Macaca mulatta: one gene and its partner. The protein of the gene in region 2 interacts with the protein of the main gene of each other region in a pairwise test. Links are inferred from orthologs where the notes say so. Each region holds a gene or a part of one and is shown on either strand. Other genes may lie near its edges. The genes, in order: PLK1 and TANK.

Evidence for each region.
Region 1: the proteins of TANK (region 2) and PLK1 interact in binary tests that used the Homo sapiens proteins (3 or more experiments, as listed by UniProt). The link is inferred for Macaca mulatta from reciprocal best matches to the Homo sapiens genes TANK and PLK1.

What each region holds. Positions count from the first base shown.
Region 1 is NC_133425.1:23,232,103-23,235,886, reverse strand, and holds the end of PLK1 (serine/threonine-protein kinase PLK1), read right to left. Parts: exon of another isoform or gene 3,547-3,784; coding exon 3,391-3,546; exon of another isoform or gene 2,353-3,390; coding exon 2,275-2,352; exon of another isoform or gene 1,756-2,274; coding exon 1,601-1,755; exon of another isoform or gene 1,513-1,600; coding exon 1,330-1,512; exon of another isoform or gene 1,147-1,329; coding exon 943-1,146; 3' UTR 640-942; downstream 1-639. Other genes in the region: ERN2 (serine/threonine-protein kinase/endoribonuclease IRE2), read left to right, coding at 1-160. UniProt on the Homo sapiens protein: Serine/threonine-protein kinase that performs several important functions throughout M phase of the cell cycle, including the regulation of centrosome maturation and spindle assembly, the removal of cohesins from chromosome arms, the inactivation of anaphase-promoting complex/cyclosome (APC/C) inhibitors, and the regulation of mitotic exit and cytokinesis.
Region 2 is NC_133417.1:66,034,778-66,038,598, reverse strand, and holds part of TANK (TRAF family member-associated NF-kappa-B activator), read right to left. Parts: intron 3,772-3,821; coding exon 3,695-3,771; intron 3,061-3,694; coding exon 2,945-3,060; intron 1-2,944.

The DNA of each region.
Region 1 (3,784 bases), on a different chromosome or scaffold from region 2:
CCCTGACGGCTTCGTCCAGTACTTCACAAACCGCTTCCCACAGCTGCTCCTCCACACGCACCGAGTCATGAGGAGTTGCGCCTCTGAGAGCCTCTTCCTGCCCTACTACCCACCAGACTCAGAGGCCAGGGGGTCGTGCCCTGGGGCTGCAGGGAGGTGAGGTGGGCCGGAGGCCACACAAATGGTCTCCATGCTGGCTAGCTGAAGAGCTGAGCCTGTGGCTGGCCTCAGAATCAGAATCAGAAAAGACTGCCAGGCTGGGTGCAGTGGCTCACGCCTATAATACCAGCATTTTGGGAGGCTGAGGTGAGAGGATCACTTGAGCTCAGGAATTCCAGACCAGCCTGGCCAACATGGCAAGACCCCACCTCTACAAAACATTTGAAAAATTAGCCAGGCATGGTGGCGCACGCCTGTAGTCCCAGCTGCTTGGGAGGCTAAGGTGGGAGAATCGCTTGAGCCCAGGAGTTCCAGGCTGCAGAGAGCCAGGATCATGCCACTGCACTCCAGTCTGGTCCACAGACACTGTCACCCCCTACCCCCCACAAGACTGGCAGAGGCTGGGCAGCCTGGGGCTGATGAAGCAGAGATGTTCCCTGGATCCCAGGCCCTGGCACCCCTCAGGAAATACAAGAAAAAGAAGATTCACATCTGTTTAATGTGTATAAAGCCAAGGAAAGGACAGTTCCGAACTCAATAGAAATATTCTGTACAATTCATATGGTGGGGTTGAGGGGGAGGGGACGAGGCTGTAGAACCCACACCCGAACATGTACAAAAATAACTTACACAGCAACCCCCACCTGCAAGGATGATGCAGCTCTGCCCAGCCACCGGGGCTGGGGGGCACACTGCAGACATGGCACCGCAGGAGCCAACCAGTATGGGCCCCAGATGCTGGTGGGAGTGAGGAGGGCACCAGTCCGGAGGGGAGGGCAGCTATTAGGAGGCCTTGAGGCGGTTGCTGGCCGAGCGTGAGCTCAGCAGCTTGTCCACCATAGTGCGGGCATAGCGGAGCCGGCTGGCCAGCTCCTTGCAGCAGCCGTACTCCTCCAGGAGACTCAGGCGGTACGTGCGGAAGTCCCGCTTCTCATCGATGTAGGTCACGGCTGCCATCAGTGGGCACAAGATGAGCTTGGTGTGATCCTGCAAGAGAAGAGGGGCAGGGATTGCTGATCCCAGAGGCCAGTGTATGTTAGGGAGTAGAGGGAAGACACAACAGGTTATAGGTACCTGAGCCATTCACTCCATACTCAACTCACATGGGCCACTGCCAAGCACGTGGAGCCTACCCCAGCTCTCTCCTGCCCCTGGTGACATCCAGCTCACCTGGAAGAAGTTGATCTGCACGCTGCCATTGCTGAGGTGCAGGATGATGGCACTGCGGGTGCGGAACCAGGTCCGCAGGTAGGGCAGCCGGGCGAGCTCATCACCTTCACGCGGCGTGATGTTGGCACCTGCCTTCAGCAAATGCTCACTCATGTAATTGCGGAAATATTTAAGGAGGGTGATCTGGATGAAAAGTAAGTGAGGGGTTCCAGAATTAGAGTCTCGCCCTCCAGCACAGGTCCCACTCCCGCAATAGCCGGACGGCACTTACCTTCTTCATCAAGGAGTTGGGATGGGAACTCACGGTGAGGTAGGACTCGGTGCCGTCACGCTCTATGTACTGCAGGCTGTCACCATCGTTGTAGAGGATGAGGCGTGTTGAGTCATTGAAGAGCACCCCCACGCTGTTATCACAGAGCTGATACCCTAGGGATCAGTGGAGAGAGGTCTCAGAAAGGGGGAATAGAAAGTGGGGAGTGGGGCTGGGTGCGGTGGCAGATGCCTGTGATTCCAGCACTTTGGGAGGCTGAGGGGGGAGGATTGTTTGAGCCTAGGAGTTTGAGACCAGTCTGGGCAATGTAATGAGACCTCATCTCTACAAACTATTTTAAAAATTAGCTGAGCGTGATGGTGCATGCCTGTAGTCCCAGCTACTTAGGAGGCTGAGCCTGCAGCCAGGCATAAGCCTGGAAGTTTGAGGCTGTAGTGAGTCATGACTGTGCCACTGCACTCCAGCCTGGGCGACAGAGTAGGACCCTGTCTCTGGGCAGTGGGGGAAAAAGGCTGGGGAGTCGGGGAGCACTGGGAGCTGGAATTGGGAGGCCTGGGATGGAGAAAGGAGGGCACTAAGAGTACCTGGGAGCTCAAAAAGGCCAGAGCCTGTAACAACTGAAAAGGTCACCTGGCTGTGCCTGAGTCACCCACCTGGTTCTGGAAGAAACCTACCAAGGCCGTACTTGTCCGAATAGTCCACCCACTTGCTGACCCAGAAGATGGGGATGCAGGCAGGATCCTCAGCCTCCTCTAAGACAGAAACAGACAGACAATTGGTCAGGACCAGCCTCTTCTTCTCTGGTCCACACATGTGGCCCACACCAGGGAACAAGGAAGCCTGCTGGGCACACCACCTGGGCTCAGTTGAGAGGCCTAGGGCCCCAGAGAAGAGCAAAGCAGGGCCTCTGCTGCCAACAGGCTCAGACAAGCAGCAGCATAGACATCTCTACACAGAAAGTTTCAACACAGCGCACCAAGTTCCACTCACTCCTTCATTCCACTGACCCATTTACTGAAGGCCTACCGTGCCAGGCACTGTTGCAGGTACAGTGAGCAACAGACAAAACCCCAGCCTCCACAGAGCTTACACTGTGGTTGCAGGGGCAAAGACTAATCAAATTAAGTATGGGCAAAATATCAGTGACTTCTATCATGGTAAGAGTCAGAGACATCTAGTTTTCCAGTTTGGAGTAATTAGGAAACTGTGAAGACAGACGCCGGCTGCAAACACATTAAAATGTTATATTCAGTGCATGCAACAAACACCTTACTTTAAATCCAATCAAAGAAGAAGGACGTGTTGGACTATGTTGGGTGAGAAGTGTTATGGAAAACTATGCAGTGGGTAAGGGGATGCGAAGCACCAGCAGAGGGGCCAGGGAGATGCTCACGGAGGTGACACCGGAGCAGACACTTGAAGGAGGCCACAGTGTGAGCCATGTGGTGTCTGGAAGAAGTGCTTTCATGCCAGGGCCAGGGAGAAAGCCCTGAGGCTGCAGTACGTCTGGGTCTGTTATTTCAAGGGTCTTGAAGAAACAACAGGAACTTACTGAGCAAAAGAAACAGCGTGTGAAGGTGGCACATCGAGGTGCTAGAGTAAGAGACGGATCAGAAAAGAAGGCAGGAGCCACAGCAAGCAGGGCCTCGGATATCAGGAAATGGGGAAACCAATGGTCCTATGGAGACAGGGCCTGGACAAGTCACCAGTGCTTTGTTGGCCAAGGCTCCTCCTGCCTTCTCCAGATGCCCCAAGCAATCCTGCCCCGCCCAGGGCCCCGCAGTACCCACCTTGCCTGACCAGCCCGCGCTCCGAGGGCTTGGAGGCATTGACACTGTGCAGCTGCTGCAGCATGTCACTGAGGTGGCAGTCGACCACCTCACCTGTCTCTCGAACCACTGGTTCTTCCTTTTCCCGGGTACGCTCAGGCAGGGGGTTCTCCAAGCCTAGAAAGGTGACAAAAACAGGGGCGTTGGGAAGGGCATAGGACTCCCCTGCCACAGCTGAAACTCTTCCAAAAGAAAAATTCTCTTAGCTACCATTGCTTTGGGGAAACTGAGTCAGTGCCTGGTTATTAGAGCAGCAGCTGCCATGCTCAGGTGACAGGCACAAGTGCTCACTGTGAGGCAACAGATCTTCAGATGCTCTGGCCTCTGACCCAACGATGTGGCCCTGCAGGATACG
Region 2 (3,821 bases):
TTCACAAGGAGAACAAGGTGAATGCTGAAGAATCTGCTACTGCTGCTAATGGCAATGACTATTAACATTAATAGCACTTCCACATGGCAAGCACTATTATAATAATTGTATGTACATTAATTCATATAATAAAGTAATCCTGAGGTAGGCACTATTATTATCCCCACTTTACATGTGAAGCAACTGGTTGGAGAGGTTAATTCAAAGGCCACACAACTATAATAGTAAGTGGCAGATCTGCCACTGGAACCCAGGCGATCTAACTCTAGATTTGTGCTCTGAACCATTATGCTAAATTGAACATGTTGGTTTCTAGATATAGAGAGAAGTCCCCAAATTGACAGAAATGTGCTTTGAATTATTTTTCCAGCAGTTGATCTATCCCGGCTGTGAACAAAACGTGGAGAAATCAAACAGCTCTAAAAAAACAGATATTTTCTTTCAGCAAAGCTAGCTGGCATAAAACTCAGCCACATTAAAATAATCTGAGTTAATCTGCTCAAGCAGTGAGAGTTATATCTATTAAAAAAATTTAAACCTTAGATTTCTAATGCTACTAGAAATCTAAGCTGAGACAACTTAAAACTCAAATGAGATGCATGAAAGCACTTGTCATCCTGACACCATATTGAGAAACATGATCAGGTGAGCAAATAGCTTTTCTATTTTGTCTATTTTAAGAATACTTAGTTTTGCAAGGAAAAAGTAAAATGGGAAACATTTTTAGATTTCCAAATTTTAAATATAGGCTATCCATTTAGTTACTTCTCAGTATAATTATTTTGTATATTGACAAAAGAAAAAGACCTCATGATTTTTTGTCACCCTGCTCATGGATGTTTGTTACCCTTAATCCTATATTCTTCTTTCCTAATCTCTACTGAAATTGGACACTCCTTTATGAACCAAACAGTACTTTATTTGAAGCTATGGATAAACATACATTTTGTTTATCATTTCTCAAGTCTATTGCCATATGTAGATGAGTAGAAAAAACAAAGTAATAATAAAAAGGAAATGTAAAAATTCTACTAACTCAGTATTTTCAAATGAATCATCTGGTTATTTAAAAGCAAACATCAAACTTTAATACAAAATAACACAGGGACAATACACATACCTTTTCCCAGATATATTATGCAAATCATATTTGAAATAGTTCTTCTATATTTTTATACAGTATAGCATACATACTTGGAAACCATGAATAGGCATCTTTTCAAAAAATATTTTTTCCTTTCTCCTTTTGATATACTACTGTCAGAGCATAATATTTATTTTGGTTTCTCTTTGGACCCCAGCAAAACTTCACTAGAGTCTGTAGCACAAAATATTTTGAGAATAATATATTTATTATTTGTGACACTGTTAATATAAAGCATAAAAATAAAGCATCAGGAAGCAGTTTTAGTGGAGAAGAAATTGAAGTTAAACACTCAGTGTTCTAGTTGACAGATACATACTCAGATTTAGACCTGTGCAATTTAAAAATGGTCAAAGTATTAAGCCACTGATAATGAGGTAAGTTTTCTGTGTAACAAAGAATATATCACCATTACAATGCCTTGAAAAGATGTTGATGTTCAAAAAAGCATGTTTATGAATTCTAGGTACTACATCTCCATAGCTAGCATATTTTAAACAGAAATAATTCATTTACTTCAGAGGTACCTAGTGACTTTAGTCCATACAAAAGATCAATTTCTCATGAAAATGACAAAAATTCAGGTGAAGAAAAGAGTTGTTTTTGGGGAGGTGGGAGAAGGGAGAGAAAGAACCAAATTATATGTATTTACAAAGATTGTTTTGCTTCTGTAATACCACATTGTGTAACTTTTCTGAATATAAAATGGTAGTAGTAGCAAAAAGTGAATTTACACTATAAAATTATTTTAAATAGCCTAGATGTAAGAGCTGCAAGAAATGGAAAGTGATCTTTAATTAAAGGGGTGTTAGTCAGCAAGACTACATCTCTCAGAGTGAAAACTGTAAATCACATCCCTTGGGAATTGTCTGCAGAATAGCTCAAATCACAAGGGTAAAGGAGAATTTATCATTATAAATGATCAGTTTACCTTCCTTTTGTTTGCAGAAGTGTTTGGTTGCCAGACCTAATCCCTTGTATTTTGCTATTCATATAGAACTACTGAAGCAAATACCAGGAAGCCAGTCTGGGGTTTTAGGAAAGGGTGGAGCATTTATAAAACATACTATAACACATGTGTAAAACAAACGTTCCTTCTAAGTTGTATTTTATACTAAATGTATATTTTGTGCATTAAACAGGACTAGCACTCAGGAAATTTGAGTGTCACATTTTTATTCTTGAACCAAATGAGTTCAAAGAATTCTTGAGCCCAGGAGTTCAAGGCTGTAGTGCACCATCACGCCTATGAATAGCCACTGTACTCCAGTCTGGACAACATAGCAAGATCCTGTGTTTAATTAAAAAAAAGAAAAAAAAACCAGAAAAAAACATCTATCCATAGTGTATGTAATGAACTTTCAGGCAGAACTTACAAACAAACCTGATGTTATAATTTTACTTAGCTCATATAATATGGTAGTATGGCTTCAAGGTCGCTTATTCACATAAGAGTTAATGTTTAATAAGTCCCCCAAACAACAACTGAAAACTTTCAGGGATATAGTCAATATTTATTTTGTATTTTTTAAGGTGGGATTTCTCATTAAGATAATTAGTAATTATGTCTTTCAATTCAATCTATATAGTACCATATACAACAAAGAAAAAAAAACCAACAAATACATATGTAATGCACTACAGAACTTACACAGCATGTACACATTCAAATATACGTGGATGAGGGGTAAATTACAGATGCTACACAATTAATAGGCATTCAGGAATATTTTCACATTCAAAAAGAAATCAATTTCAATCAATCAAATCAATATTACTGTAAATTAAATTAAATCTTACCAGTTGCAGTGTCTGGTATATTAAGTTTGCTTAAGTGGTCTTTCTGTGCTTTTGCTAGCATGCATATTCTATGAAATTCTTCTTTCAGATCCCAGAAAGTCTTCTCTATACTACCCCTAAAAAATAAAAATCAACATTTTAAAATGTAAAGCTATAATTTCCAAGTTTTTAAAATAATCAAACTTATGTAGTACCATTTTATGTGCCACAAAATATTTAAAAGTTAAAAAAAAATTTTTAATTCCTAGACAATATCCCAAAAACCAGCTTGTGTTTGTAGAGGGCCAGGCACCAAGTAAGTGATAAATTAAAAGTTTTAATACATAAATATAGTATAGTCTAGCATATCTACTTATTCATATATACACTAATGCTGGCTGTCTTATTCTCACATTAGAAATTTCAATGCATTGACTTTTGTTCTCTGCAAACATCTTAAATAGAATATTAAATATTCCTCATTTTGGTAAAGTTCACATTAGGATCCATCCATATAAAGAAATATGGCCTTAACACTTGGTTTATTGAAATAGTAGAGCTTTAGAGAATTCAAGTTTTAGATCCAGCTCTGCTATTAACTGCATGACTTGTTTAGGTCATTTTTAACATGTAGGACTCTGGGGATGGTTACTTCCACTTATTCTAAAAGGCTATTTTTTTGCAATTGTTAAAGCTTAAAAATATATATATAAAATATATTTCAGTATTGAAAATTTTTAAGAGTTGGCAAAAAAAAGGATGTAGAACTACCTTTCATGGAGCAAAGGACTGCCAAGACTCCTTGCTGAAGTTTCTTTTCTAGGAGAAGAAACCTCTTGTCTTCTTACCTTAAAGATACAAAATGATTACTATTACTACTTTAAATTGCTTCCAAATT